Tamandua tetradactyla: one gene and its partners. The protein of the gene in region 3 interacts with the protein of the main gene of each other region in a pairwise test. Links are inferred from orthologs where the notes say so. Each region holds a gene or a part of one and is shown on either strand. Other genes may lie near its edges.

Region 1 (7,580 bases), on a different chromosome or scaffold from region 3:
TTATAGATTTTTCCTTTTATCTCTAATTTTTCTTATCTTTGTTTTTTTGTTTGTTTGTTTTTAAGGGCATGATTCATTTGTCTTGTAGTTTGTCAGTCTGAATTTCCATGATGACATTTTCTTTTTGCTTTTGTGTGTTTTTTTAATTGATATAAAACATTTAAAAACTCACCATTTTGTCCATTTTAAAGTGTGTAATACAGTGGCTTTTAGCATATTCGCAAACTGTATAACCATGAACACAACTAATTCCAGAACATTTTCATCACTCCCCAAAGAAATCTTACCTGTTAAGCAGCCACACCCCCTCCTCCATTCTCCCAACCCTGGCAGCCACTAATCTACTTTCTGTCTCTATGGGCCTACGGTATCATTTACTATGTCTCTTTGTCCCCTGGATTTCCTGTAAATTAATAATTAGATCTAGAGGTATGATCAGATTCAGGCTTGAATGCTTCATAGGGACAGCTGAGTACTTATGCTAGGAAGCACGTAACTTTTGTGGTAGCAGCTGCTGGTCAACATCACCTAGATTTTTAATTCATTAGGGGTTAAAAAATGGTGATAGTCAAATTCGATCCTTTCTTCATTTACTTCTGAAATACTTCTCTAAAGAGAAATGTCCCTTCAACTGCTATGTGGTTACCCTGAGGGACAGAGTATATGGAATGCCAACATGGATACACAGTTCTTTACTTGCCAGTTTTCAAATTTCATCATTTTCAAAATGATGAGTTGGTTCCCAAGGAGCCTTCAAAGGTGACCAATTAGGGATTTTTTTTTTTTTAATGCATGAATTTAGCTGCTTAGTTGGAGTACCCGGTGATAGATGGGGTAGGGCAGCACGTCCGGGGCTGATGTATTTGGCCAATGTATTTGAGATTTTGGTTATAAATGGGGGGGGGGGGGAGTGGTGTTGAACAAATGGGTAAATGTATTGAGAATCAGGAAAACAAAGTTTTTCACTGCAGAGAAAGAAGTTACAAACATGAAGGGGCTGGAGTAAACCTGGGCTTTGGACTGGAATTGGAGGTACTGGTGTGTTTTAAAAGATAAATAGTAGATGGGGAGATGGAGAGATAGAGAAATAAAGGTAGATAGGTTAGATAGATAGATGGTTGGCCGATAATAGCAGTAGATATAACAGATGGATAGATAGATGTGGAAGGATGGATGGATAGATAGAGAAAAAAATATAGGTATGTCTGTATATAGGTACATAATACATATACATAGATTTCCCAGCTCTGTATGATGAGAGGGACCAGAATTAACAATACCGTGGTAAACACACTTGGCACCCAGATCCTGGGTTCTACAAATTCTCCACTAAAAGGAAGCAGGGGTCCTTGGAGAAATGGTTGATTCTAGGGTTGGGACAAAGAAACAAGGGAAAAATACAAGTTAAGTTAGCCTGGAACATTTTGTGGAGCCAATAAGAAGTGGTTAGTATTTGATGGTGGCATATCAACAGGACACAAGCTATCTTGAACAGCTTCCATTGGTCAAATCAAGGACAGTTTAAGGCATTAAAATAAGTAGTTATAGCAAATAAATATAACCCTTTGAGTAAAATAAGAATCCAGGTGTCCCTGATGATACAAATAAATGGGGGAGGATGGAAAAGTTCTATCTTACACACAAACACCAATGTATAAGTCTCTGAGGTATGATGGAGTTAGAAAATCATCCTTTGGCAACCATCATAGTAATAATTGATTTAGGCAAAAATCATGGATGGGTACAACTCTGGTGAGTGCAAATTTGTTGAGAAACAGGATATTTACTTAGCTTCAAAGTATCTCTCCACTTGTTAATTGACAAGTATTACATAGTAACACTGGAGAAACCTGGCAGCCATCATTTTAACCCTGCAATAAAAGTTAGCATCACCAGCAATGGAAAGGTTCATATACCTCCTGATAGGTCTACAATATCAGCTGCCAAAAATGAATAAATAAATCATGAGACACTGTTAGACAAACCCAAACTGAGGGACTTTCTACAAAATAAACTAGCCTGTGATCTTCGAAAGTGTCAAAGTCATAAAGGACAAGGAGAGAATGAGGAAATTTTCCAGACTGAAGGAGACCAAAGAGACATGATGGCAAAATACATCATGGAAGCCTGGAATGGAATCTGGTTCTCTAAAGGAATAAAGATAAATAAATAAAATAATAAATAAAATAAATAAAATAATAAAGTCTCTAAAGGACTTTATTAGAAACTCTGAATGGACTTTTATGAATTAGGATCCAGAAATGTTAATAACTGGGGAGTCTGGATGACGGGCTTATGAGAGTCCTGTGTATTGTTTCTGCAACTTTTATATACATTGAAGTTATCTTAAAATAAAAAGTATAAAAAACCCAAGTGCATGGACTTAAGTCCATATTTGATGAGTTTTGGTTTATTGCAATAATTATTCTTATTGAAAGACCAGCTTGTTCTATCTTTGATCATTGGGAACCCCTTCCAGTTGGCTCCTATTGATACTACCTAGAAGCTTTGGTAACTCACATGCTTTGTGATACAACAAGATGCTCCAGGCTTTTCTTGTACAGTTTCTGCTTTGGACCTAGATTCAGGCCAACCAAGGTTCCCTGGTTCCTTCAGCTGAAGATGGTATTTAGAGACCATAGTCAGGATAGCAAGAGTACTCACTGAAACTGGATTGATCTTTGTTTCTCATCTTTTCAGTACACAAAGCTAGGAAATGGTTGTTTTCTTATAAACATATAATATATTATGATACTTCCAATTTAAATTCAAGAGTTTAAGGTTTTGACTTAATCGGTCTTACACTTCTATCTCCTTTCGCTGCCTCTGAAAATCCCAGATCTTGACACCAACGTAATTACTCCTTTGCTTTTTCTGGTACTACATATGTTACCAGCTCAGAATAACAATTCTAACACTATGACCAAAAATAAATAAAATGGTTGTGCCTTCAAGTTATTAGGTGTCCATCTCTTGTGTTGTTTTCTCACTAACTGGACACACAGTCTCCAAAAATTGTACACTGTCTCAGTTGTTTTATTTTCCTTTTGCTTTATAGGAATTTATTTACATTTAAAATTTTGTTTTGTAATCACTTAAAATATTTATTTTGATGATTTAAATTATTGAACTATTATAAATATAAAACTGGTGATTATTTTAAATATTTTATTAAATATTTAAAATATTATAAAAGGAAATCATTATAACAACTTAAACATTAAATGCTTAAATAGTTAAAATATTTAATTATTTTAAGTATATTTTAAAATAATTCAAAGTCAAATCTTTAAAACAAAGGTGTATTTTTAGAAGTCTAGCTTCTATCCCTGTCCCCCCACCCCCATTCTTTTTCTTCCATCTATAGGTAATTATTTTTTAAATGTTATGGTTAGGGGAAAAAAGGCATTGAAAATATAAATAACTGAGTAATTACAAAACAGCATGTTTGCCTAGTCAAAATTATACTAATTAAAATGGACTGCCTGATAAGGCAAATATATATATATACATATATATATATACACATAAATATATATAAATTTAAATACATAAATATTTAATTTTAACTGAGTCAATTGAGCTGATCTATATATTCCTTGAAGGCAGGGCCAGGAGGGGAAAGGAGTACTAGATGATTCTCTATCCTACCTCAGGGCCTTTGCATGTACTGATCTGTCTGTCTTGGACTCTTTCCCTCTCTTTTCTCCTACTTCACCTCTACTAATACCTCAGAAAGTCACCTCCATTGCTGGTTCTCAAGGAAATAGTTTCAGACTTCCCAAATTATTCCAAGCTCTTACAATACGCCCTCCTCACTTATGACAATTGATCACATTTGTAATTAATAATTATTCATTATAATTGGTTGCTTAATGTCTGTCTCACTCCCTAGATTGAGGTCCACGAAGGAAGCGATGTTTGTCTAACTCAATATTGTGTCTCCAAAGCCTAGCGCAGTGCCTGGCTTATAATAGGCCCTCAATGAACATATATTGAACGAACGAATGAATGAATGAATGTTGACTTTAAACAGGAGCCATGGCCCCCAACCTCTCTAGGCTTCTATTTTCTCCTCTGTAACATGCAATCACACGGTCTCTTCCTCTCCCCAGGACCGATGAGACGCGTAAGGGAGGTGACAAACACTTAGAAGTCGCTCTGCCAGGTGGCATGCGGAACTCGGGAAACGCTCTTAATTATTAACTAGCAAGGTCGTCAGCAGGTGGCGCCGTCTTCCCTGCGGGAGCCCAGGACAGGGCTGGAGCGGGGCCGGGGCTGGGGGCGGGGCCTGGAGGCGGCAGGGGCGGAGCCAGCGGCTGCGGCGCCGCGGGGCCTGTGCGGCTCTGGTCGGCCCCGTCGCCCCAGGCCCCACCTCCCGGGGCGGGACATTCATGGTGATTGGCGAGGGCGGGAGGGAGGCGGTCGCCATTGGCCCGCGGCGCCGTCTGCTCGGCGGGCGGTGCCCCGACGCAGGTGCCAGCCGGAGCGGGGCTAGCGGCGCTGACGGGCCGGGCCGGGCCGGGACCCGGGCCGGGGTGAGCCGAGGGGCCTGCGCGGTCGCCCGGCCCGGCCACAGATCAGGTAGGCGCGGGCCGGAGACGTGTTCGGCCGTCCCGCCTCGGGTTCGAGGCCTCAGCCCTTCCCCGGGACGCGGGGTTCGCACTGCCTATCTCGAGGACGGCGAGAGGCTCCCGGGGCCCGGCACCCAGTAGGCGCCTCTGTAAGCCTCAGTTTCCCTTTCCGTGAAACGGGGTCATCCCAGTGCCAGTCTGAAGGGGTTGGTAAGAGAATTCAGGAGGTGGCGGATGTGCAGAGCGCCCGGTACACAGTAGGTGCTCAATAATAGTCAGTGCCCTGTCCAACCCTTTTCACCCTTTTCTGCCTGGAAAATTGTAAATATCCTACCCTGCCAGGCACTGTGCACAAAGCACTTAGCAGAGTGTGGGGCACGTGATGGAAGCTCCAAACAGGGTGGACAGAATGTATATTAGTGCATTCGGTCCTCCAGGAACCAGAGAGGTGGAAGCACTAAGAACTGTTCCCTGTTTTACAGGTGAGAAAATCAAGGCTCAGAAAGGTTAAGTCTCTTGCCCAGGGCCACACAGCAAGTAAGAAGCAGAGCTGGGATCACAACCTGGCCTCACATGCAGGGCCAGGGAAGTATGGAAGGAGGCATTGGAGTCGGCCTGTCTGTGGCCACCGGCATGCAGGAAGGAGGCTGGCTCTGGTGAGGGCTGAGGGATGAACGCATTTCACAGCCTCCATGTTTATCCTATACATGGTGAGATGTATTTAGCACTTACAGTATGCAGGCACTGACTGTTTGGGCTCGTAAGATTCTCAAACAGCTCTGTAAGCTGACAATGGGGACTGTGATAATGACTAAAATTTGTTGAATTTCTTAATATTAACTGACTTATGATCTGGGTAATCTTTTGACTATCATTTTCCAGATAAGGAAACTGAGGGCTCAAAGAGTGATGCAGCTTGCCCTCTGACTCATCTTCCTCTAATTCTTTGCCCTCAGGAAAAGGAGCCTGGGAAAAGGTACCTCAGCACCTCCCCAGACAGGCCTTGCCCGGGGTAAGCTTCCCAGGAGGAACTGATCGTGGGTGCTTCTTCTCAGAGGGTCCCTCAGCAGACTCAGTCTACCCACTCCATCAGCATATTTGACAAAGGAAGAGGAGCACCAAAGAAGCAAAGCGACTTCTTCTAACACTCAAGGAACCCAGACCTACTCACCGGACATTTTGGGTTCAGATCCTGGCACTGTCCCTTCCTTGCTGTGTGGCCTTGGGAAAGAAATGTCCCTCTCTGAGCCTCAGTCTCATCATCTGTGCATTGGGGTTAATCATAGGACTTATTTCATAGTTTGTTGAGAAGACTCAGTGAAATACATCTCCTAGGCTTGGGGCCAAGGCAATGGCTCCCACTCCTTTCACAGCAGCCCCAGAGCTGCATCCAGCCTGCAGACACCCCTATCCTTGTTTCCAGCCCTGAGTTTGGCCTTCTCCAAGCCCAAGCCTCTGCAGCTTGCTTGGCCTTCTAACCTCTAAACCTCTCTTATTCCCACCCCAGTGACTGGCAGACCAGGATCTGGGTGTCAGAAGACCTGGTTCTCCCACTCTGGTTTCACGCAGAGCAGGGGCTGAGAAATTAATTCTGCAAGAGTAAATGTAGCAACTCTGTGCCAGACACAGTGCTGGGGAGCTGGGGACAAGAGGGAGCAAGTATGATGTCCTCCTTTACCAAGCTTACCAAATAGACAAAGAAATAACAGCATTTCAGAGAGGAGCATGTGCTATGAAGAAAGTAACCTGGACTCTGCTAGCACTGCCAGGGTGGTTAGGGAAGGTCTCCCTGGGATGGTGACCCTGGAAGAGGACATTTATAACAGCTCTTCAGAGCTCAGTGAGTTGACTAACAGACATGCAGGCTGCTTAAGTCAGTACCTGGCAAGCATTTGGTGCTAAAACAGAAGCTGCTCTTATTATTATGTTGGAGATTTGCATTAGCAGACTCATCAGTGTTTTGTTTTTTTTTTTAACCCTGATAGTAAAACAAATGGCAGAACTTAATATGTGGGCTCTGGGATAAGTCTGGTAACTCCCAGTCATTTGCAGAAATGTTAAGTGACTATGGTTCAGACTGATCCTTAGCAAGGGCAGGAGGCATGGGCCCACCTCTATATGCATTCACTTGGAGATGCCCCCATGCTATGGATTCATCTCTCGAAAGGGACAGCTGCAAACACAGCCCCACAGGCCTAGCTGCTGGGCTCCACGCATTATCTCAGTCTTGCAGCCTTCCTCCTGGCTCCTCCTGCCTTTGGGCTGATAACTTGCTTATCTGGCCGACACTAACCCAACTGGGGAGGCCCAGAAGGGCATGTTGGGCCAGGAAAGCTTTAGGCTGGGCTATGAAAAGGGCACTGAGGCATCTACAGACTGTCCTGGTGCAAAAAGTTCGTCAATAGCAGATGCTGCTTTTTTTGCCCTCTTACTGTGGTCTCAGATTTTGACTGGCAGGGGTTGGTAAAAGCTGATTGTGGGTATACCACAGTGAGTATTTGACCAGCCCCTTCACTTGTGGTTTCTGAATATTTTGGGGATCGCTGCAGTCATAGCTCCTGGAGACAAAGACACAGGGGGTAGATAAGTTGGGGGCAGGCCCTTAACGTAGGTGTAAGGCATCTGTGTCTGGTGGTGACACCTAGGAACTGCTGTCACTTTCATGAAATTCTCAGAGGGAAACACATGCAGGGAATGGGAACCTCTCTTTCATGTGTCATCGACTGGCTCTGGGATAGAGGGGCAGGTTGCCTAGTGTTCTGTTTGCTGATCAGACCCCAGGTTGCGGGGCAGAGCCCTGAGAGTTCCCATCCACAGCACATTGCACAACTGCTGCCTAAAGCTCCAGCTGCCTGCTGGGGGCAGAGGCATGGCTCAGAGTCTCTGGTCTGGTGGGGGCAGAGGCTGCCTCAGTCTACCTCAGCCCCTGCCACTTGCTTGATGGTTGCAGTTGTCTGAGCCAAGGAGTCCAGAGCACTCCAAGAGTCAAGATGACTGACCCATTCA
Region 2 (7,494 bases), on a different chromosome or scaffold from region 3:
AATAAAGCTGTTCTTAAAACTATGTCAGTTTAAGGGCACACAAAGCCTGAACCTGCCTCTGACTTTGGATATCTGAGCTGCTGCGTCTCCTGTTCTCTGTTCTCCGGTGAAACACTGTTGTTGTTTTGTCTTCCAGAATGCTAATAATGCTGGTTCACCCAGGACCCAACTCCAGCACTCCTCTATATTGTCGGCTTATTTCCTTGTATTTCCTTACTGTCATTTCAATCGGATTTTAAGAGCAAGACAGAACTAAAAGAATACGGTCCCTTGGAAACCATAAATCAGATAAACATTTGATATCCCGTATACATAAAGAAATTACACAGCTCAACAACAAAAGAATAAACAACTCAATTATAAAATGTGCAGAGCATATGAGTAGACACTTTTCTGAAGAGCAAATACAGATGGCTAAAAGCTCATGAAGAGCTGCTCACCTTCTCTAGCTATAAGGAAATGCAAATTAAAACTACTGAGATACCACCTCACACCTGTAGGAACAGCTGCCGTTAAACAAACAGGAAACTACAAATGTTGGAAAGGATGTGGAGAAGTTGGAACACTTATTCACTGCTGGTGGGAAGGTATAATGGTATAGCCACTGTGGAAGACATTTGGTGATTGCTCAAAAAATTAAATAATGAGTTGCCCTATGACCCAGCAATGCCAATACTCGGTATATACCCAGAAGAGCTGAAAGCAGTGACACAACAGACATTTGCACACCGATGTTCACAGCAGCATTATTCACAATTGCTAAGAGATGGAAACAATCCAACTGCCCGTCAACAGAGGAGTGGGTAAACAAAATGTGGTTTGTCATACAATGGAACATTATGCAGCCGTGAGACGAAATGAGGTCCTGGAGCTCATGACAGCGGATGACCTTGAGGACATGATGCTGAGTGAAGCCAGCCAGACACAGAAGGACAGGTTCTGTGTCATCTCCGTATTATGACCCTGGTAAAGTTGAGAATGTCGAGGCTCAGGTGAGCCACACGAGTTGCTCTGGATTATAGGGCAAGAAGTGATCAGCTCGGACAGAAGGTCACTGCAGCGTCCTCTGATATTTTGTGCACTGTGATCTGGGTGAAGCCCATGGGGACAGCTGGGGAGTGTGGTGCTCTCCTGCCCGCATTGCCCTCCCACGTCCCTTCTTCTCTCCCTCCTTTCCTCTCTCTTTCTGTCTCTTTTTCTCTCTCTTTTTTTCCCCTCCTCCCTTCCCTAAAAGTAAAAACAGATAAAAACAAACATCTAAGTCCCCATGCCATTCTCCCCACTGTAAAAAAAAAATATATATATGGCACCTCTACCATCTTCTTCCTTACTTAGGTTTCTATATATATTGATTTTCCCCTCCATTCATCCTTTAAACAATTTTTATTGTGAAAAATAGCAAACATATAAGAGTAGATGGAATCAAATGAGCCTCTATGTACTTATGACCCAGCTTCAACACCTCATGGCGTCTATACCTCAATCCTCCACCTGCCCTCTCTGCTATTTTGAGGCAAACCCCAGACATCATATTTCTTTACATAAATATTTCAACATGTAACTCTAAAAGTTAGTAACTCTTAAAAATACCTGACCTGTGTAAATATATCTCAATAAAAATTGCGTTTAAAAAAAAAACACCTGACCACTATACCCTTATCACACCTAAAAGTAATTAACAATAACACTAATTTTTTCAAATAGTTACTTTGTGCTCAAATTTCTCTTTCTCTCTCTCTCCCTCCCTCTCTTTCCCTCACCCCCACGCCAGCCAGTGTCAGGAAACAAATCCATCTCCTTTTTCCCCTTGCAATTTATTTGTTGAAGAAAATGAGTCATTTCTCCTATGCTTTCCCACAACCTGCATTTTGCTGACTGCAGCTCTAGGCCAGCACATAACATGCTCCTCTCTCGTCTGTGCTCTGAATTTGGCAGTTACCTCCAGAGGCTTGATTAGATACAGGTTTTTTGTTTGTTTTTTAATAAATTAAAGAAGTTGTAAGTATACAGAAAAACCATGCAAAACCAGGTTTAATTTTTTTGTGGGGGAAAACCAAACTATTTCACACGCTGTGTTAGGGCCTTCTATGGGGGGACAGAATTTCTGGTTGACTTTGTGTTATTAGCAGCTGTTTGTGATCGATGAGTGGATTCATTCATTCAGGAGGAGCAGCAAAACAGTGATGTTCTCATCCCCATATTCTCCCGTCATTTAGCTGGACCACTTCTGTAGCTAAGGGGTTGGGGGAAGCTTTCCCCTTTTCACTCGAAAGGCAAAGAAACCACCAGCCTGATGACATTTCCTGTCTCCTCTTTGAAGAGCGGCTGGTGTGGGCAGAGAATCCCAGGGCCCTTGGCCTCTCCCCGCTTGTCACCAGGGCACATGGACTCGCTCTGCCCAGCCTTCCTTGGTGTGGTAGTTAGGTTCAGGTGTCTACTTGGCCTGGTGAAGGTGCCTAGTTCTGTCGCTGTGGACATGAGCCAATGGCTTGTGGACCTCATCTGTTGCTGATTACGTCCACAGTCGCCTAGGAGGCCTGCCTGCTGCAATGAATGATGTTTGATTTAATTGGCTGGTGCTTAAATGAGAGACTCAACGTAGCACAGCCCAAGCAGCTCAGCATACCTCATCTCAGGGCAAGCAGCTCAGCCCAGGCCTTTGGAGATGCAGAAAGGAATCACCCCAGGGAAAGTTGTTGGAACCCAGAGGCCTGGAGAGAAGGCCAGCAGGGATCACCCTGTGCCTTTCCATGTAAGAAAGAACCTCAGTTGAAAGTTAGCTGCCTTTCCTCTGAAGAACTGCACATTTTTAATGAAATAAATCCCCCTTTATTAAAAGGCAATCCATCTCTAGTGTGTTGCATTCTGGTAGCTAGCAAACTAGAACACTTGGTCACTGTGCCTCTTGGGCCATGTGTCCTGCAGCTGCAGTTGGCACCTCTGCTGTGGCCACAGCTGCGTTCTGCTTTTGTTGGTCCATTTTTCTCTTCTGGAGCAGCAGTGAGGCTGTGTTTCAAGTCATCCTGGGGGGAGGGGGGGTTCCCGGGTGCAGACCTTCCTGATTGGCCTGGCACTCAGTCCCCAGACACGACCTCCTGCCCTCTCCTGGTGTTCCGCCTGCACTGCACGCCCCCTCCCCAGCCCACAGTGTGCCAGAGTCCGTCCCAATCTCCAGGAAGCCTGTGGCCAGAGGTCTCTGGCCCCAGACCAAGGCCAGCCAGGCCAAACACACCTCAGAGGACCAAGCAGGGGATTCTCCGAGCGCTGGCCGCTTCCTCCCCTGCTCTCCACCACCGGGGCCCGCCGGGCACCAGACAGAGCCAGGCCCCATTCTCGGGCTGCTGCACTGAAAGTCTGAAGATGTCCTAGGGTGTCAACCGCAATTTGAGGTGAAAGGTGAGAAAGGATGACGACTCCTGAGCGTGCGGGCAGCCTGTAAAGGAGCCTGGCTGGGGCACTGCCTTGGAGTGGACACAAGTGGCTCCCAGAGGGCAGGAAGAGGTGGAGGGGCGCAACGTCAGGGCCGCCAGTGGGACTTGGGCTCCCAGTTCCTGGCCAGGCTGAACCCCTCAGCCTCCCCAGTCCCCCAGTGGGTGAGGTTCCCCAGGCGGCATTCCCACACAGAGGAGCGAAGGTGCAGCCTTCCGGAAGGCGCCACATAGTTTGGGTCTCTAAGTGCACAGCAGCCACCTCCACCTGGAAGCCCTGCCGGGGTTCTATTGTGGGGGTAAGGGAGGAGAGCGGGACGCCCAGAGGCGCAGCCGCCCTGGAGCCGGTGGCCCTGCTTCCTGCTTGCCCAGACCTGTCTTTGAGTGTGTTCGGGTTCGGGTTCAGACCACATTAAACAGAAAAGGGTTTCCTCCTGAGAGCCGCAGCCAGCCGCGCGCCGCCGCCTCCAGGTCTGCATCGCCTGCGGAAGGAGGGCTGGGTTACCGCCCCGAGAGGGCCGCGAAGCTCCGCGGCAGCCGCGCCTCTCCAGTTTCCGTGACTGAGCAGCTGCTGGGCCTAGCGCACCTCAGTTTCCCCGGCCTCCATGCGCCCCAGACCCCCAGGCCCTCGGCCACGCAGCTCGCGGCACTAGGTTCCATCGCGGGCCGCACACAGGCCCCGCGGCCGCCCCGCCCCCGCCTAGACCGCGGCACCCGGGGAAGCCCGAGAAAGCCTCGCCCCGCCCCCTCCGCCCTCGCCCCGCCCCGCCCCCTCAGCCTCGCCCCGCCCCCTCCGCCCTCGGCCCCGCCCCCTCCGCCCTCGGCCCCGCCCCGCCCCCTCCGCCCTCGGCCCCGCCCCGCCCCCTCCGCCCTCGGGCCCCCCCGCCCCCCGCCCCCCGGCCGCGCCGCACGCGCCGCACGCGCCCCGCGACCCCGCGCACGCGCAAAGGTCCCGCCCGCGGCCAATGGGCGACGCCGTCGCGGAGCCCACGTCGCGCCCCGGCCCGGAGCGGTCAGTCGGGGCTCGGACGGCGGAGCTGGGCCTGCGCGCTGTCTCCTCTGCCCGCTCTGCCCGCGCTCTCCCCGAACCGCTCGGACGCGCCCCCGCCCCGCAGACCCCGCGGCCGCAATCTCCCTCCGGAGTCATGTCGCTGAGCGGGGCCCCCGCGCTGCAGGAGGAGAACCTGCAGGGTAAGGCCGGGCGCGGGTCGCGGAGCCGGGGGCGGCCGGGGGGCGGGCGCGGCCAGGGGAGGCCGGGGGCCCGGGGGAGGCCGAGGGCCCGGGGGCGGCCCGGGGGGCGGGGTGGCCGGGGGTCGGGGTGGCCGGGGGTGGCCGGGGGTCGGGGGCGGCCCGGGGGTTGGGGTGGCCAGGGGGTCGGGGTGGCCGGGAGAGGCCGAGGGCCCGGGGGCGGCCCGGGGGGTGGGGTGGCCGGGAGAGGCCGAGGGCCCGGGGGCGGCCCGGGGGGTGGGGTGGCCGGGAGAGGCCGAGGGCCCGGGGGCGGCCGGGGGTCGGGGTGGCCGGGGGTGGCCGGGGGTCGGGGGCGGCCCGGGGGTTGGGGTGGCCAGGGGGTCGGGGTGGCCGGGAGAGGCCGAGGGCCCGGGGGCGGCCCGGGGGGTGGGGTGGCCGGGAGAGGCCGAGGGCCCGGGGGCGGCCCGGGGGGTGGGGTGGCCGGGAGAGGCCGAGGGCCCGGGGGCGGCCGGGGGTCGGGGTGGCCGGGGGTGGCCGGGGGTCGGGGTGGCTGGGGGAGGCCGAGGGGGTTGAGGAAGCCGTGAAGGCAGGGGAGGCCTGGGGGCCTTGGGGAGGCCGAGGGTCGGGGCAGCAGTGGGGGCCGAGCCGGGGGCGGCCGCTGAGCAGCAGCGCTTCCCCCCGGGAGGAGGACCTGGGGGGGGGCTCGGCTGTTGGCAAGAGTTAAACTGTGCGCAGTTGAAGGGTTAACTTGCCCCTGGACTAAGGGGTCCTAAAGGGAAAGCCCCGGCACATGGTTTTTCGGGGCAGGGCAGAGGTGACGGGAAATCGGGGCGCAGTCCCATCTTGAGGAAGTCTGTGAAGGAGCAGTTGGCCGTGGATAAATTCACAGTTTATTGTTGCAGTGTTTTAGGAAGTAGCCTGGGCAGCGCTGTGGTCTGCTGCTCGTAGGGTTCGGGTGGGGTGGAGTGGGCTTGGCCTTCTCGGGGCGCCGATGAACCAGCCGAAGTCATTCCGATTCCGGAAGGGGTGCTGTGGTGAGAGGCGCCGTGTCAGCCTGTCGTCCCCAATTCCAAATGTGTAAAAGGCTATTTAAAAAGACACCTTCTTGTCGAAACCGCTGCAGTGTGGGCCTTCCCCGCCGGGGCTGGGCAGTGGGCAGCGTGAAGGAGGTGTCCCCCAAGAGTGCGCTGCCTGGGCAGAAGTGCCTCCCGCCAGGCCCACTGTCCGCGGAGCCCCTGGGCAGAGGCTGCGGGTGCCGGACACCGCCTACAGCTGGCCCGCCTGAATTATTCCTTGTAGCAGCTTAAACCTCACGTCGCAGTAGAACCTTTCGAGTTTTCTTGCATTTTCTGTGGTTTGGCCAGTATTGATTTCAGCAAACAAATACTGCAAATTGAATTTTATGGTTTTTAGTTTTTAACGATTAACATTTGTATCTTAGCGACCATCTTTTTTTTCCTAAAAGAGGAAGGAAGGAAAGGGGGAAGGGTGTTTACCAATATTATATAGTGCTCCTTTTTTTCAGGAAATGAACATTTGAAAAATGATACAGGCATGCAGTCAGTTTTATTTTTAAGGTTGGTGTTCCATTTCTCCTGGAGGGTCATCGTGAAAACAGTGTAAAAGTTGACTTAGGGGTCAGAAAAGTACAAGAAGAAGGACGCTGTTCTGCCCCAGCTCCTTGGCGTTTCAGAGGCGGCAGGAGCCCCAGCCCTGGAGCCTGGCCCTGTGCGCCCAGGGCACCCCTCCCCCCCAGCAGGAAACCAGGGCTCCCCGCAGCTAAGGGGGGCCTAGGCTCAGCCCCCCTGGGTGGGTCTGCCCGCACAGGAATGCCTGGCACACCTGGCTTTTTCCTTTGGCCTCACTGACACAGCCCGGGCCCAGGGGGTGGGTAAGGAGCCTGGCCACTGCTGACTTTTGTCCTCTCTGAAGCAAGAGTTCGCCAAGCAAAGTGAGCGTGTAAATAAGCTCTGGAGAGGACTGTTGAGCCCTTTGAGAGTGCATTTGCAGCCTTCACTAAGGTGGTTGAAGTCCTTGGACTCTTCGGCTGTATTAGAAAGCTGCCTGTTGTTAAATTGTTTTTCAAGGTAAGATTTAGTTAGCCTAAACTAAATCTTTTTTATTGTATTGTATATGTACTTAAAAGCTACAACCACATATTTTAAACTCCTGTAGTTCGGGTCTTTTTTAGCATGGACTCATTCCCCCATTTGAAATAGATTAAGGGAGGTTTTTCTTTCTTTTTGTCATGGAGTAAGATCCATGGAATGTTTTATAAGTCCTTTGCCTTAAAATCACCCTTTTTCTAATGAACACACTCCTTTATTTCCAGTACTGCTTATTTTACCTCTTGGTTCAGACATTAAGCCTCAAGTTGAGGGTCTTTGGAGCAGAGTTTGGGGTCCTCTGGAGGGGAGCCCATCAGCTCCTCCCTCCTTGGTTTAGAACCCAAATTGCTGAGTCACTGGCCACACAAGACTGCCAGCTCAGGAATTGAAAGGTTTTTGTTTTTCTGTTTTGCTTCTTCTATAAAAAGATGGTTACCCGCAGAGTGGAAACTCGCATTGAGGATTCCCTGGGCCGCCCTCTGACTGTACGTGCAGCGGAGCACGCTCCCTGCCCAGCCCCGCCGGGAGCTGCCACTCCGGTCACATGGGACCGCCCAGCTGCCCCGAGACTGTGAATCTGCACTTGGCTTGCACAGCTCCGCTCTGAGTTGATTCTCCCTTGTTTACCTCTGAATGGAGGCCCGAGGAGGCCCTGGTAGCCGGAGCCCGTGGGAAGGGCAGCAGGCTGTGTGACCAGATGCTTGCAGAAGAGTTAGCAGGTAGCAAAACTGATTCTGCTCCCCTTTTGCTACCCGGTCCTTTCTGGTTAA
Region 3 (8,061 bases):
GTTTTGCATGGATATCCTATCGATCCACAGTTGACCCATTTAGCAACCACTTGAGAGCGTAAACACCAGGCCTTATGGTAGGTGATAATTTGCAACAACAAGCAACACCCAGAGCCTGACTCCAGGTTGCTCAAAGAAGGAGACAGACTATTCAGGTAATAAGTGCTATGACCAAATAAGCACAGAGCGTTGGGGAGCATGTAGCAGGGCCCCTAACTTTTGAAAGTGATATCCAAACTTAAAGCTGGTAGAAAAAGAAAAGACAGACAAAATACAGGGAGCAGTGTTCCAGGCAGTAGAGACAGTAGGCTCATGACACAGTGGTAAAAGGGTGGGGAGTTGCAAATTGTTTAGTAGGCTGAGATGTAAAATGCTAAAGCATGGCAATAGTTGGATTGGAGGGACCAGATAATAAAGGAACTTATTAAGCCTAAAATTGATCTTGAGCACAATAGGAGCCATTGAAAGCCTTTAAGCAAGAAAGATAAGTGTTTTAGAATGGCTCATTCAGACAACAATGAGGAGGATAGAAAAGAGGAAGAAGGTCTAAAGGCCAACAATATCAACCTTTAGGATCCATTAAATTATGTAGTCATCCAGTCTGTACCCTCTTGCAGAACCACATTGAAAGTAGCAAGAGAAGAACCTGCTCTAAATGGGAAATTCTATTCCCTTATCAAGTTTTTTTTTCTCATTCCCATTAATCCTATTTCCTTTCATTTTACTTCATTTTTATTTTTGAACGCTTATCTATATATATGGCTCTCTGTTCCCTCTCATTGTTGTTTTGGTGGTAACCCTAGAATTGGTCTAAGGGCACTGGTCAATATCTAAGTGATGCCAAGCAAACTGGGAAGGCTTCTCCATTGATACCAAGTTCCTTCATGTGGGGCTATATTTTTAAAACTACAATGCTAAGGCAATTTGACACCATCCACTAATTCACCCCCCCACCAGGTTTCTAGTTGCTAAGACTGTCATATTTGCATTTGAGATCATCAGTATGAGTAACCTTTTTCATCTTTCTTTTTTTGACCTCTGTTCTAATTAGAGCCTGGGTGTGGGGGTATATCCAGGTAGCCTGTGGGAGATTAGTTGTACAATTAGTATGGATTTTCGGACGTCTTGCAGTAATTAAATTCTGAAGCACAGTATATATCCCTTTTCTGAAATCTGTATTGTTGAGACCAGGTACATGTATTTCACTATAAATACATGTACCAGGTGATGTTAGTGACTTCTTTGTTTAGAGCAAGGATTCTTAATTTTTTTTGTGTGCCATGGACCTTTTTGGTGGCATCTGGTGTAGCCCATGAACATTCTCAGAATATTGTTTTCAATTGCATAAAGTTAAATATGAAGGACTGCAAAGGAAGCTAATTATATTAAAATACAGTTATCAAAATATTTAAAATTTTTTGTTAAACAGTCATATATATACTTTTATACACATAAAATAAAATATAGTGGTAGGTCCAGAACTACTAAAGTTTTGAAGCAATTTCAAGGTAATGTTTTGAAATCACCAACTGAAATATGATTATCAAAATATTTATGATTTCTATTGGTGATAAAGTCACAGGTAGTGCTAAAAATATTGTGGCTTGTTGACTAAATTCATAATGGAAGGAAATGCTGTATTTCAGTTAGAAATTAATGAAAATAAAGATTTAACTTTTTCCATACAAATTTACAGAACCCATGCTTTAGAGGTTGTTTAATATTCCTTTGTCATTTTAAGAGTAAATTATTTTTGTTTGTTCATTTCTATATTATTTGGGCTTAATTTTACTGCCTCTTGTGTGCTTTTTTATGCTTGAATTGTTTTTGCAATGTTGGAACAGCAATTATTGAACGGCTTGGGTGCAAAAAAATCAGCAACTGATTAGAAATGAGAAGTTTCACAAAAGCTCTTAATGTTACCTCAAGATATAACATCATGTAGTCATTACTGGAAAATCAAATCTGTTAAATTCATAATGCTTACACATGGTAAACTTGAATAAAATTTGAATCATCTGCATTAAACAATATTATAATGTTATCTTGTAAAAGTGTCTACCTAGATAATTCTCAGTGGAGTTTGTTGATTCCCCATGACATTTGCAAAATTTTTCATAGTACTCTCACATATCACCTTAAATGGATCCTTAAAACATTTCTCCAGAAAGGCAGGATGGGGTTTAACTTCTCCATTTTACAGTTGAAGAAACAGTCTTGGAGAAGAAAAGTGGTCAGCGGGGAACCCAGAGTTATGGAAGGCACATGGGAGGAGTGATAAGTGCCAAGTCAAGCACTGAGCCTCGCCTCTAGGCAGTTCTAGAAGTAGATCTCTCAGGTCCCAGGGTCAATCTGTTTGAGTGCCCACTTAGCATTGTCCAGCCTGGAGCTGGTTCCTGGATTAAAAAGTAGCCCCAGCCCTCAAGAAGATCTCCCTGTAATTGGAAATAGATTAGAACATTCAGAAACAATATTGCACACCTAAAGGGAGTAGAGCACCTTCATGTATGTGCACTCTTCATCTTTGCTTGTGCTCTGCGAGGTGGAGCTTCTTATTCCCATTCTTCAGACGAGGAAGCTGAGGCTTAGGGAGAGTCTCCCTTACCCTCTCGAATTAGATAGGTATCAATTTGCAGTCAGGATGAAAATCCAGGTCTGTCTGATTCAAGCTGGGGTTTGCTGATATCACATCCAGTGGGTCTCCCCTAGCCACACCCATTTTAAGATGGGGGCACAGACCATAAGGAATGTAGGGAAAAGTAAATCCAGGGAAGGAGGGAGGGCCAAAGAAGGCTTCATGTAAGGAATGAGGTTTTACCTGGTCCTAGACAAGAAAGATGGTTGAATTTAGAAAAAGAACTAACAGAAGTCACCCTAAACAAGGACAAGCCACACACTGGGAGGAGATATTTATAAACCATGTAACAAAGGATTCAAAATCTAGCTTAAAGAAGTCCATCAAAAAGACAAACTACCCATAGAAAAAATGGGCAACAAATTTGAAAAGCAATTTACCAAGGAGGAAATCCATATGACCAGTAAATAAAAAGACAGCATAATAGTGTAGGACAGGGCTTCTCAAATTTTAATATGCATTTTAGAATCACCTGGAGGTCTTATTAAGCTGCAGGTTCTGATTTTGTAGGTTTGGGGTATGGCCCGAGATTCTGCATTTGTAACAGGGTCTCACTCAGATGATGCAGATGCTGCTGGTCCATGGACCACACTTTTGATAGAGAACAATTCAGCCAGCCCAGATCTGAATCCTCACTTTGCCACTTAGCAGCTGTGGAGCTCGGGCAAGTAACTTCTCTGTGCCTCAATTTCCTCATCTGTAAATGGTCCTTATTACCTATATTTGGGAGGATTGAATGTATTAATATATGTAAAGCATGTGGTACAACACATGGCAGAAATAAGTGCTCAGTAAATGTTAGCAATTGGTGGTAGTAGTGGGAATAACTAGAGAAAGGCAAATTAGACTGACCAGACTGGCAGATGTCAGAAAATCTGACAATTTCAGGTGCTGGTGAGGCTGTGGGGAGGCAGGAACTCTCTCACTTTGCTTATGGGAGTGCAAAGTGGTACAGTCACATTGAAGAGCAGTTTGGCAGTATCTGGTAAAAGTGAAGATGCCCGTACAGTGTGATTCTAGATGTGTGTTAAAGATCAGGCTAAGGAAAGAGACATACACTAAGATGATATTTATGTAAATGTTGAACAACACAAAGGTGATACTGGATATTTTAATGCAAATATACATACGTAGTTAAAGTATAAAAATCAGTCACTTAGAAGCATACGCGGGCAAATTTAGGAGACTTACTGACTCTGGGGAGGGAGGGGAGGCAAATAGCACTGGGAAGATAGAGACCTTCAATTTTGCTGTACTGAATAGAAAAAATACTAGAAAATAGCAGAAGTAAAAATGACTAAATGTGAACATTTGTTAGCTCTGGGTAGTGGACATACAATTACTTGTTACATTATTCTTCCTACTTTTCTGTATTTTTCTTAAGTTTTGAAAGTTTTATGCTGAAAAAATATTAAAGGGGGGAGAGGTTGGAGCAAGTGAAGAAAGTGGGCTTGGCAGGTGTTGGACAAATAGAACAGAGGCTCACCTGTGAGGCACTGGCTTTCTTCTGAGATAAGTGGAAAAGTTTAGAGAGGTAGATAGGGAAGCTGAAACTCAGAAAAGTTAGTGACCTATTATCCCAGGTCACAAAGCTAGTACTGCCAGTTCCAAAGCCAGCGCTCTTGCTACAAGTTTCTCAGACCTGGGATTATTCAGGTGAGCAACCTGCCCCTCACCATGCCACTTCCCACCTCAAGCACCATCTCAGAAAAAATAAAAATGCACATTGCTACTTTCTAAAGAAAAATAATTTTAAAATTACATTTCCATTATTGAGTCCAATGGGAAAATGAGTATTCTTTCAACTTAGATTTACCTACTTAATTAAAAAAAGAAAATGAAAAATGACTCTCTGCTTTTTACCCACCAAAAGGTTAATTCTGGCTGTTTCTGCTTGCATCTTATGCAGCTGGAGGACTGAGAGCCTCCCGTTTCATCACTGATATAAAGGAGATAGCTCATCTTGAAAAGTTCCTGGGTTCAAATCTCACCTCTCCCAACTACTGTGTGACCTATGGGCACCTTCTTCCTCTCTGAACTTCAGGCCCTTCTTCCATAAAATGGCTACAGAGTGGGGAAGGGGCCCTCCTACCCTTTCCTTTGCCTGGAGGAAGTTGAGCACAGCCATGAGGGGCTGGAAGAGAACTGCAGGGTAGCCTGCAAGGGAGGGTGTGGCCTGGGGTGAGACTTCTCATCCTCCCTCCCCCAGGCTGCCCTGGTGACAAAACAGGGAGCCTACCCTGAGTCCACTCTAGTCCCTAGAGACTGGAGCTGGGAGTCCGAGACATGAACAAGATCTTCCCCCAGGTAAGTGCTGCTCTGACCTGATCTCGGGAGCAAACCCTGGTGTGAGGCGTGGGCAGTGAAAAAGGAAGATGTTAAGACTGCCTGCGGGAGCCACTGAGGTAAACCTGCTCTTAGGTAGGGTTTCACTCCCAGCAGGTGAATCACCTACACAGCTCAGGGGCAAGTGCTGGGAGGGAGCCAGAGGAGCCAGATGGACAGGAGGCTAGAGGAAAAGTGTGAGCTACATTATCAGAGGGGGCAGCAGAGAAAGTCTCACTGAGGAGGAGCCACCTGAGCTGGTTTGGGGATGAGCGTTTGCCAAGCAGACAGTAGAGGAAAAGGCATTCTAGACAAAGGTATCCTATAGGCAAAGGTGTGGAAATATGAAGTAGGCACGATGTGTTTGAAGAGCTCAGCATGCTGAAGTGTCAGGGAGCAGTGGTTCTATCTGAGATGGGGGCCAAAAGACTGATCTACTCTCGGGCCCTCAGTCTCCCCTTCTGAAAAACACTGAGGTCTGACTGCCCGAGGCTGGGCCTATGCTAAGCCAGGCCTCACTCTGTTCTCTTGAGCAGGGAGATGTCAATGGCAATGCAGCTGCTGGAAGCAAAGCCCTCTCTGAAGGGGAAGGTAATGGACTGGAGCGATGGACTGCGATTCCCCTGAGACTGGGCAGCTGACTACAAAGAGGTTCCCCCAAAGGTCCTACTGTCCCCCAGACCTCTACCCTCCATGTTTACGTCTACTCTCAGCTTCCTGGCTGGTCACGCTGACAGCCACTGACATAATAGCATCGGTCATTCTCTCCACTCACAAGCATTTACTGAGTACCTACTGTGTGCTGCCTACCTCACAGGCACTGCACCATTTACAGGACCCACCTGTATTTCAGAGAAACGAGCTCCAAAGTCAAATCCAATAATTTCCCTGGGAAATTATTTTTACCTCCGAGGGATCACATACATCTGTATCATCTATGTGCCACTGACTCACTGTGCAACCAAGACAGTTCTCTTTATCTTTATGAGATAAAGGAAGGAGGGATCCCACATTTATTGCCCATCAACTCTATGCTCCTCTTGACCCATATTTATTAGATCAGTGAAGAAAAGACCCAGAGAAGTAGAGAATAATAATAATAATAGCTAGAAAGGGTCGGATCCCTACTATGTGCCTGGTACTGCATGGTCTCTTTTCATCCTCGGGACAGTTCTGAGAGGGGGTCCTTGTTAATGGTGCAGTAACAGATGATGCAGCTGGGACTCAGGGAGGTTAAGTAACCTGGCCAAGGTCACAGAGTTGGTAGGTGGGAGAGGCAGGATTCGAATCCAGATTGGGGGTCTGTGTGATTGCAAAGCCCTAGTGCCTTCCATTGCTCCACACTGATGTTTATTTCCAAGTCCTGACTGGTGGTGGGGGTGATTGTAGGGCAATGGCCTCCTTTGCCCCATCTGTCCAGGGAGGAAAATCGACATTTGAGAGCCTTTCCAGCTTTGAAATGGAGCTGAAATCGTCACTTGATTCTGTCGCCTCTCCCTTGAGTCTCTTGCTAACCTTGCACATGGACTCTGCTGCACAAATATTTGAGGAGTGGCTGCTTGGCCATCTAGAACGCCTCTCCTTGCCAGGCTTCACACTGTCTCCCTGGTTATCTGAGTTTACCCTGTGTTTGCCAACAACAAGGGAGCCCTGACTAGGCTCAAGGGATGACTAGTTTTAGATTTATGCTTCATTTTCTACTACTGTCTCCTCTCCCAATACACACCAACCACACGGGGTCCGCCACTGCCCCCACATACCTTTCATGAGACCTTCACTTCTTCTGTACTTCTCTGCCTGGAATGACCTCCCTTTGCACCCTATACCCTCATCTATGTGAAAAAGCCCCCGTTCCCCAGGCCCCTCCATTGAGCTCACACAGCACCTCGCCTAACCACACTTACTACCTGCCACTGTAAGCTGCCAGTGTGCTAGGTATGGGTCTAACTTGTCAGTGAGTGCAGAGTAGGCAGCTCCAAAAATACATGTGTATTGGATGGAAATGGCCTGAGCTGACATGAATTGGGGGCCTACCCTAGACTCCTGGACCTCTGTGGCAAGCCTTGCCCTTCTTCTTTCAAAAATACTCACAAATCACCTACTATGTGCCTGCCTCTGGGCTGTACTCTGGGGATACAGAGATGAACCAGAACCATTCCTGTCCATTTCTCTGAGATAGCCGAGGCCTGAAACATGGTAGTTGTGCCCACATTCTCCTTTTTATATGCCTGTGCCTTGTCTTCTACGTGCATCTCCTAAGGGCCAGATTCTCTGCTTCTTTGGTGCCCCTTGCAGAGTAGGACAGCCAGTATGGTCCTCAATAAAGCTTTATTTCATTATTTCATAAGCAAGCAAGAAGTAAAGGACCAGAGATAGCGCTTATCACTGCTATTTCCACAATGCTTGGACTAGAGCTTAGCACATAGTAGGTGCTCAATAAACACTAAGAATAGCTAAAACCTTCATAGCACTTACTAGGTGCCAAGCACTGTTCCATTGACTAACAACCTTCTCGACAACTCTGTAGGGTAGGTATTCTACCTAGAAAATGAGGACACTGAGGCCCTGGAGAAGTGAAGTGACTTTCCCAGGGTGACCCAGCTAGCAAGTGGCAGAGCTGGGATTCCAATCAGTGTTTTCTGGCTGACTCCAGAATGGACAGTCAGAGTCATGGAAAGGGCAAGGGTTTGGTATCAAACAGACATGGACTAACATCCCAGCTCACACCGGTGACCTGGAGCAAGTCACTTCTCCAAGTCTCAGTTTCCTCATCTATAAAATAAAGAGCTATTATAAAAAATAAAAATAACAACTTTGAAGGGCCGAATGCAGTTTCTGCCCCATGGTAGGTGTCCATCTGTCCCTCGTTCTAAGGAGACAGACTCACGGAAGGATAGGAAAGGTGTGGGCTGGGGGATAGAGAACTGGATCTTCATCCCAACTTTGCCGCTCACCAGCTACGGGACCCAGGCTAGGAATGGGCTTTTGGTGGGCAGTGGGCTCCCAGGCAGAACCAGAGAGCTTCATGGAGGGCTTAGGAATCCCCTCTTCTAAGGAATCCCTCCCTGCCCCCAAAGCCCACTCTGGAAGAGGCCTTTTGT
Region 4 (8,148 bases), on a different chromosome or scaffold from region 3:
GTGGAATATATTGTAAAAAGCACTAGAGGTCCTCAGCTGACTACAAGTATACTACTATTCCAAGTAAACTGGGGTAGAAGTGTATACTTGGTCTTCATTTTCATTTATTTATTTGGTGACATATGCTTAAGAGTTAGGTAGGGTGAGAACATTAATGCGCTATTTCTGGAAATGACTAAAGAAATTACATCTTATTTGATTTAGGTCACTGTAATTTAGAGGGATTATTTCCTTGATTTTCAGCCATTAGATTTACTTCCTTGCCAATCTGATCAGCACTGTATTAATTGTTAATGGTTTAGATTAAAGTTATTTTCATAGCATGATTAACAAGGTGAGATTTCTCTTTTCAAGCACCTGAAAACAAATAGGATTGGATATTTAGATGATAGAATGAAGGGGCAGAAAAGGGTTTGAGGAAAGCCAAAAATATAATATGAAACTAAAGAAAACTACCACAAGTGTGGATTTTCTGAGAAGTTTTGAGGATGCTTTAATCTGAATTTCAAGTATCAGAGCTAAATGGATCAAAGCCACGAGTATATGAAATAAATAAAATAAAATAAAAGGAAAATTTATTTGGATTGATTGTGATGTGTGTTTTTGGTTTTTAAAGTCTGTAATCATTTTGAATTTTGCCTTTCAGCATATATTGTTTAATAACTAAGGAAATTTATGACTTTTATTCCTGTCTTTAAAAATGATCAGGAAAGTATTACTAGGCTAAACGTAATGGCTGATGAATAAATCCACTTGAAATGGAATGGTTTCAAATTAAAATAGAAATCTCTATCCTCGTGTTTGCCAATATCATGATTTATTTATTTATTTAATGATTTATTTTTAAGCCATGTTGATCAGAGTGTAAGATGAGTCTATGGTTTAGAGTTGTAAAACCTAGGCTCCCATTAAGGATCCACCATTTCCTAGCTCGGTGAGCTTGGACATTTCATATTTTGGCATTTGTTTCCTAAAGTATAAAATGGAGGTGTAATATCAAACATATGATGAGATAAGAAGCTCAGATGAAATATTTGTTCAGTAGTGCATGTAGAACATCTCACTGTTCTGTAATTGCTAAGAGATACCCTATATAATGCAGAGAGGTAATCTAACCTTTATATTTAGACATTTAAGTTTTTATTCTTTTATTGAACTATTTTATTTATACAAATATTCTACCACCAGTTAAATTTAGATTAATTTTAAATAAGAAGCTATTGATATATATATATAAATGTCTAACCAAATATAATTGTTTTTAGAATATCATTTTCTTTTGTCCCCTAAATATTGTTAAAATAGTTTTGATATTTCAGTTTTAGGAAATCATAGTGTCATCACTCCTCTTAGTAAAGCAAATACTCTACCCTTTTCACCAGTTTTTAAAACTTAATTTTTCATAATTTAAGTATCTTTCACATTTCTTCCATTTTATTTCACCTAACACTCTTTATAAATAAAGGCTTTCATAGTAGAATTTCTGCCCTTTCTAGATACTGTGTGCTTTTTGGGGGCATTGTGTATTGTGGTAAAATTCTGGTACAATAAAAGAATCCACGATACCCCAGTTGAAATGGGAGCTATAATTTGATAAATATTTGAGTAAAAATGCATAAACATGCACATAACACATACACTAAGTGAATTTTGTGTAGTATTAAAGGGAAACCATTTTAAGAATATGGAGATATTAGACGCAGTTGGGGTGTGTCCATGGTAAATAAAAATTAGAAATATTTGTACATGTCTTATAGAAAGCTACTTATGGAATTACAGAGTTCTTATCTGTATTGAGCAGAAAATTAATACTTACAGAGTTTTACAGGTAAATTTTATTTTAGCATTTATATGAAAAATATAAATAATGAAATGAAATCTATGTATTATCTTTATGCCCTGACTGATAGAGATTTAAGAATGAATAAACATTTCACATATGTATTAAATTGAGGATTGTAACATAGAGTACAATGGAATCAAATAGAAGTCATAAAATTTATTGCAGCCTCTCAATTCCTGGGCAATATTTTTCTTTCTTTTTTCCTTCTAAATGCAGGAAGGAAAAGAGCTTCGGAGGATAATAATCTGACAAAAGTATGTCCATTAATAGGTAGATTAAAGGTTCATTTACCAAATTTATTCCAATGAAATATTTAGGAACATTTGTGCTGCCAACATAACTGCACTTTATTTTTAAAATATTACATCATTTTCTGTAATTTTAGAAGGATTTCTGTTTTAGGCAATATGTTTTAAAATTTCTAAACTTGTTCTTTATGCCATAATATGGTATTTAACAGTTTATTAACACAATTTATTAAAAGTGCGCATTTTTTAAATGTTAATTTTATTAAAGCTGACTGGAATTCATAAGTTGACTGGAAAAAGTTAATTTTATTAAAGTTGACTGGAAAAAGTCTTCAAGAGAATTTTAAAAGTAGCTTGTATGCTCTTGTATACTCTTAAACTCCATTTTATTCCTATTTACTGTGAGGAGTCACAGTAATAATATAGGCATAGATTTGCCAGTTGTGTGCACGTTGTGCAGCCATATGGCTGGCTATTCATGGTGGTCTAGATTCAGATTGTCCTGACCTGCCTGAATTTTCAGCAGAGTAACAAATAAAATAAAGCCATTGCTTTTACATGGTGGAATTAAACCGTCATTACCACCAAATATAGTAACATAATTGGAAGGATTTTAAGTTGGCAGAAATTCACATCTGGAAAGCAAAATAAAAGTGAAAGTTAACTTAAACTGAGAAACCAATAACCAAGATCAAAGATGAATGTGACTCATTTCAAAATTAATTCTTTTATTAGAAATTAAACTTGTCATATAAAATATTTTATTGTCTAACTTTGAGCTGAAATTTACAAAATGTGATAAATTCTTTCTTAAAAACTTAGTAAGTTTAAATTATAGAAAGTAAAAATTACCAAAATGAGTAAAATCTTACCTTGGCTGCTGTGATTTTCACAATAATAGTGTATTGTGAGTTCTATGAAGTCTTATAGGCATTTAGCTGGGAAATTTTCTGACTCTGTTACCAGGTTTATGGGAACAATTGAAGTAGGTGGAGGAGAAAAAGTATTGTAGGAAGGACTTATGATGTCACTCAGGGATTCTGAAGTTGTGATTGGTTAGCCATAGTTTTATCGTAACCAGACTCTTTAGAACACATATCTTTAGGTAGGTGTGTGGTGTGGAAAGGTCATTCACACTTTGTGCTTCATTTTTTGTTTTTAATTTTTAAAAAGGTATCTGGCAAATAAAAAAAAAGTAGTCTGGGATGGTGTTCTGAAAGCTCTCTTTAAAGATTTTCCATCTACAGGCTTAGAGATAATTGTATACTATACAATGTCTAACGTTGATAAAATTGAAGAGCTAAAATAGTCATAGCAATAGGAATTTTAAGAGAGTGACAATAATAATACGAGCTTGAGCCAAACAACTTTCAGTGAGTTGTTACTTATGCTCTTGCTTTAATACTGCTATTTTATAATGTTAGCTTCTGGCATAATAGCAATTAAACATTTTCATAGAATCAAATTTTACACCTTTTCCTGTCTTATCTTTTTCTTGTTCCTCATACCTTTGTGTGTATCAGGAACAGTGTCTATGAGAAAACCAGGCTAATAACTGGGTAGTATTTCTAAAATGATGTCCTTCATTTAATGTAGCAGTTGTTTTCCTGAAAATATTATATAAATGAAATTTCAGTAAATGGAATGATATTTTGAACTTTTTAGAAGAGTCTGTCTAAGAACTGGGAAAGGAATCTTTTTGAAAAGTCAGCCTCATTCTCCTATTTTATTTTATCTTTTTTTAATCTAATTTTTAGTTTTGCATATTGGATTTACTTAAATCACCAGACACACAATTTCTAGTTCTTAAGTCTCTTTTGTAAGTTTGGAGGAGCTATTTGTTATGAAATTAGCATTTAGAAGAAGAAAATCAGTATTTAATTTTTACAGGGCATTTCAAACGTCCTTTGAAGAAATAGTTTGAGCTGGGGATTTCTCTTTTGATTTTGTTTTCATTATGTTTGTTTATATACTGTTGGGTTTGTCACGTAAGTCATAAATATAAGACCTAGGAAGAAAACATTTTCAGTTTTAATTTTTTTTTAGCTTGAGTGTAACTCAGCCTGCCTCACTTTCTTATGGGTAACTAAAATGTGTAGCAGCAGCTGCTTATGACTCCTTAAATGGAGATTGTCTTGGCTTCTTCCAAAGAAAGATAAAATCCATCTCCTGAGCAACTCTCTTTTTAAACAAGCAGCTAAAACTAACTGAAAAATAGTGTTTCAACTTAAAAGTCAACACAAAATTAAAGAAATTGCATGAATAATGTTTGACACTGCTAAGCACTCTACAAGCAATTTTTCTTTCAATCTATACATAATAGTAAGGCTTTCTTATTTATTATTATCAATGGCCAGTGATGATTGGTAATATGAAATCTAGAAACCTAAAGTGGTTTATAGTAGTTTGTCAAAGATGACAGCTGCAAAAAGATAGACCAAGCACTCAAATCTAGATCTGTTTAGTAAAAATTCCCTGATGGATTGGCATTTTGTGGGGAAAGAAACATCCTTATTTGGATTATAACATTCACAGAGTAGCATATAGCCTACTAGGAAATTTATAAGATAGAGATAGGGTGAATTAGTGTAACTTGTTATTTTTAGAAGGGCTGCTTTAAGTTTGTCTGGCCGTTTACACAATCATTTGAAAATGAAGCTTAGGGAATAGATTATTGTAGTTTGATCACCTCTAGTTCTAGAAAAGTAAAATAGTAATACTTAATTGGATAAACTAAAAAATTGCTGTAAACTAAATAAAATATGCCCTATATAGCTCACGTTTGCTAATTAAAAGCATATACAAGTACATACACTTCACAAGGATATTAATTGTATGTGTCAAAGTTGGTAAATGGAAATAAAATTTTACTTTTCTGACTTGTAAAAGGATGGAGAACTTCTGATTACCCTTTTCCTTTGGCATAGCTTAAACAATTATTAAGTCCAAATGATGCTCTAGGTAGTGTTACATTTTAGTTTTAACCTGGTTGCCCAAACAAAAGTTATTTATTAGACTTGATGGGCTACAATATAATCAATAAAAGGTGCCTCAAAAATTCCCCAACTAGGGGCTGGAAATTTTTCCAGGGGTACTTTGTCAGAATTTTTATTTGGAGTTAGATTGTTTGAATCTATTTTTGGCCACATGACCTTATTCAGTAACTTCCCTTAGCTGCCTTATCTGTAGAATGGGATTGTTGTGAGGGTTTAATGATATTAAGTGGATATAATGACTTGTAGAAATCCTTTGAAGGATGGGTACTTAACCTGGAGTTCATGGGTAGAAGAGATCAAGGGTCCTTGAACATGGATCGGGAAAAATTGCGTCTTTGTTTTTTTACTGAGCTTTTGTTTTTTTACTGAGCTTTAAATAATATTTAACATTGCTTCAGTTTTGACTGCAGGTGAAAACCTCAGAAGCATTAGCAGTCCATGTGACTGTCACTATAGAAATCCCACATAATTTCACATGTGGTTGCAGGTGGTTTAAATACTGTTTATGTTCATAACGACTTTGAAATTATTATAATTAGACCTGCCTCTAGGCATTGTTATTTAATGTGTTAATACAGAAGCAACTATTACTACTTCACATATTTGTTTTTTAAAAATATTTCAATATACTTTGTTTCCTTTCTATTCCTTTTTTGTTTGTTTGTTTTCTTTTGGCATGGGCAGGCTCTGGGAATCAAACCTGGGTCTCTGGCATGGCAGGCAAGAATTCTGCCACCGAACGACTGTTGCACTGCCTTCTAATCCTATGTATTTTATAATTTTTAATGTTTTTATTTTAGAACAGTTCTACATTTATATAATTATTGCAAAGATAGTACAGTGTTCCTATTTACTTCACACCCAGTGTCTACAAATTAACATTTTTCATTAGTATGGTTATTTGTCTCATTATTTGTCACAGCTAATGAACAAATATTGACACACTATTAGTAACTGAAGTCCATACTTTATGCAGACTTCCTCAGTTTTCCCTTAATAACCTTTTGTGATCCAGGATTGCTATCCATGATACCATATTATATTTAGGAATGATGTCTTCCAAGGCTCCCTTGGTTGTGACAATTTCTCAGACTTTTCTTTGACCTTGACGGTTTCAAGGAATATAGATCAAGTATTTCTGTAGAATGTCCTCAAGATTTGTCTTATGTTTTTCTCCTGGTTAGACTGGAGTAATGTATTTTGGGCAGAAAGACCAGAGAGGTGAAGTATCATTTTCATCAGATCACATCAAGGGTATATACTGTCAACATGAATAATCAGTGTTGACATTAACCTTGATCACCTGGGTGAGTACTGTTTATTAGATATCTCTATTGTAAGGTTTCTTTTTCCTCTCCCTTTCTATACTGTGTTCTTTGGCAGGAAGTCATTATATATACCCCACACTTATGCTCCACCAACTTAAGGATCAAGTATTTACATACATTGTTTGGAATTTTTCTATTTATATAAAAACTTATAAAAACAGATCAGTAGGTTTCAGTCTGCCAAAGTGGAGTACCTGGTCCAAACAAATTTAAAATTCTTGTCTTGGAGGATGCTTCTGTAGTTGTATGGGGCAGTGCTTTTTGAGAGAGGAAGACTCAGTTCTCAGGCTTAAAACCCAAATGTCTTCGCTTGATATTTTAGGTCTTGTTTTTCTAACTTCATCTCTTACCACATCCCTTTTTACTCCATGCTCTGGCTTACAGCTGCCTATGGCCATCTGAATAGGCTATGCTATTTTAAGCCTCAGTACTTCTTGCAGGAATGTCCTCCCTAACCAACCCTTATTCCCATCAAAGTACTATTTCAATTTACCTATTTTGTGAAAAATCCATCCCTGCCGTATGCCAAATGATTTTGCATGAACCCATATCATGTCTGTTTTTATTGTGCTTATTAGTTTTATTCTGCCTAGACTGCACGCTCCTTAAAAGTGGATCCAATGACTCATATTTGTACTACTATTTATTCTTTATAATGCTATCGTCTAGTATAGAACCTGGTTCATAGAAATTCTTAAGTATTGAATGTATAAATGAAAGGGAGAGAGGGAAAGATTGCCAGGTTTGTAGAGCTGAGTTATCCTGCTGAGGTAGATGTTAGGGTCAGCTAAAAAATCCTTCCCAATTTTAAAGCTCAGTATGGGGAGGAAGAGAAGGATGTAAGTGATTGGTAGTCTTGGGAAGTAGAAAAACTGAGAAAAGAACTTACTGTCTTATTGTTTTAAGGTGTAAATATATTTAGTGGGTGAGTGTTTAAGAAGGTCATATTATAAGCCCAAGGTCCTAAATTGAGCCTTTTTTCCCTCATTAAATTTTTCCTTTCCTTATTGTATTAATAATCCATGGTTCTTTAGGCACTCAGTATTTGCCCATACATGGCCTACTTTCATTTATGTAAAGTTGTCTAGTTGTTGCTTTTTAATAATGTAATAAGGACCTGTGAAGTCATCTCCTCAACCAAAATCCAGGATGTTAGCAATAACATACTCAACTACAGGGTCTTGCCCAATTCATCACCCTGTTCCTCCTACTCAAGCAAATGATCGCTCTGAATACCAGGTTCATTTCTTTGCTTTTGTTTTTATATAGTTTTATAGCTTTTGTATGTATTCCTCAAAAGTATTTATTCCTATTTTGCTTGTTTTTACCTCTGTATAATGGATATCATGATGTATGTAATTTTTTACATTGAGTATTTGAATTCCAATTGGTAGTAATATGGCGGGGCAAAGGAAGCTTCAGAGTAGACTAGTTTTTTCTGGAAATTTTTGAAAAAAATTAATTTGAAGTGGTGACTAAGAGCATTTTAATATTTAAGTAAACATAATGCAGTAAAAATGCAAACTTTGAATGAATTTTTGTGATATATGTAAGATTTCAAAGATCAGACCCCCAGGCCTCCAGGAAGACTTTACCCAGCTCTTGGGGATACTTTTCTGTAAAAAGTTAGAGTTACTGCTTCAGTTTTAAATCTCCTTATGGTGGGATTATTTGACCTAATCCTAAAGGCAAATACCTAAAAGTAAAATTGAGATTGAGAATGATGGTTTGAA

Evidence for each region. The genes of interacting proteins can lie anywhere in the genome.
Region 1: the proteins of LDLRAD1 (region 3) and MARCHF2 interact in binary tests that used the Homo sapiens proteins (3 or more experiments, as listed by UniProt). The two-hybrid records come from large-scale screens. The link is inferred for Tamandua tetradactyla from reciprocal best matches to the Homo sapiens genes LDLRAD1 and MARCHF2.
Region 2: the proteins of LDLRAD1 (region 3) and BNIP3 interact in binary tests that used the Homo sapiens proteins (3 or more experiments, as listed by UniProt). The two-hybrid records come from large-scale screens. The link is inferred for Tamandua tetradactyla from reciprocal best matches to the Homo sapiens genes LDLRAD1 and BNIP3.
Region 4: the proteins of LDLRAD1 (region 3) and PLN interact in binary tests that used the Homo sapiens proteins (3 or more experiments, as listed by UniProt). The link is inferred for Tamandua tetradactyla from reciprocal best matches to the Homo sapiens genes LDLRAD1 and PLN.

Annotation. Positions count from the first base shown.
Region 1 is NC_135337.1:84,859,832-84,867,411, forward strand, and holds the start of MARCHF2 (E3 ubiquitin-protein ligase MARCHF2), read left to right. Parts: upstream 1-4,484; 5' UTR 4,485-4,584; intron 4,585-5,056; exon of another isoform or gene 5,057-5,230; intron 5,231-5,530; 5' UTR 5,531-5,586; intron 5,587-5,622; exon of another isoform or gene 5,623-5,757; intron 5,758-5,825; exon of another isoform or gene 5,826-6,414; intron 6,415-7,580. UniProt on the Homo sapiens protein: E3 ubiquitin-protein ligase that may mediate ubiquitination of TFRC and CD86, and promote their subsequent endocytosis and sorting to lysosomes via multivesicular bodies.
Region 2 is NC_135339.1:94,575,771-94,583,264, reverse strand, and holds the start of BNIP3 (BCL2/adenovirus E1B 19 kDa protein-interacting protein 3), read left to right. Parts: upstream 1-4,398; 5' UTR 4,399-4,573; coding exon 4,574-4,619; intron 4,620-5,865; exon of another isoform or gene 5,866-7,421; coding exon of another isoform or gene 7,422-7,443; intron 7,444-7,494. UniProt on the Homo sapiens protein: Apoptosis-inducing protein that can overcome BCL2 suppression. May play a role in repartitioning calcium between the two major intracellular calcium stores in association with BCL2.
Region 3 is NC_135328.1:167,435,408-167,443,468, forward strand, and holds the start of LDLRAD1 (low-density lipoprotein receptor class A domain-containing protein 1), read left to right. Parts: upstream 1-4,921; coding exon 4,922-4,942; intron 4,943-5,496; coding exon 5,497-5,551; intron 5,552-8,061.
Region 4 is NC_135331.1:179,386,347-179,394,494, reverse strand, and holds the start of PLN (phospholamban), read right to left. Parts: upstream 3,097-8,148; 5' UTR 2,964-3,096; intron 1-2,963. UniProt on the Homo sapiens protein: Reversibly inhibits the activity of ATP2A2/SERCA2 in cardiac sarcoplasmic reticulum by decreasing the apparent affinity of the ATPase for Ca(2+).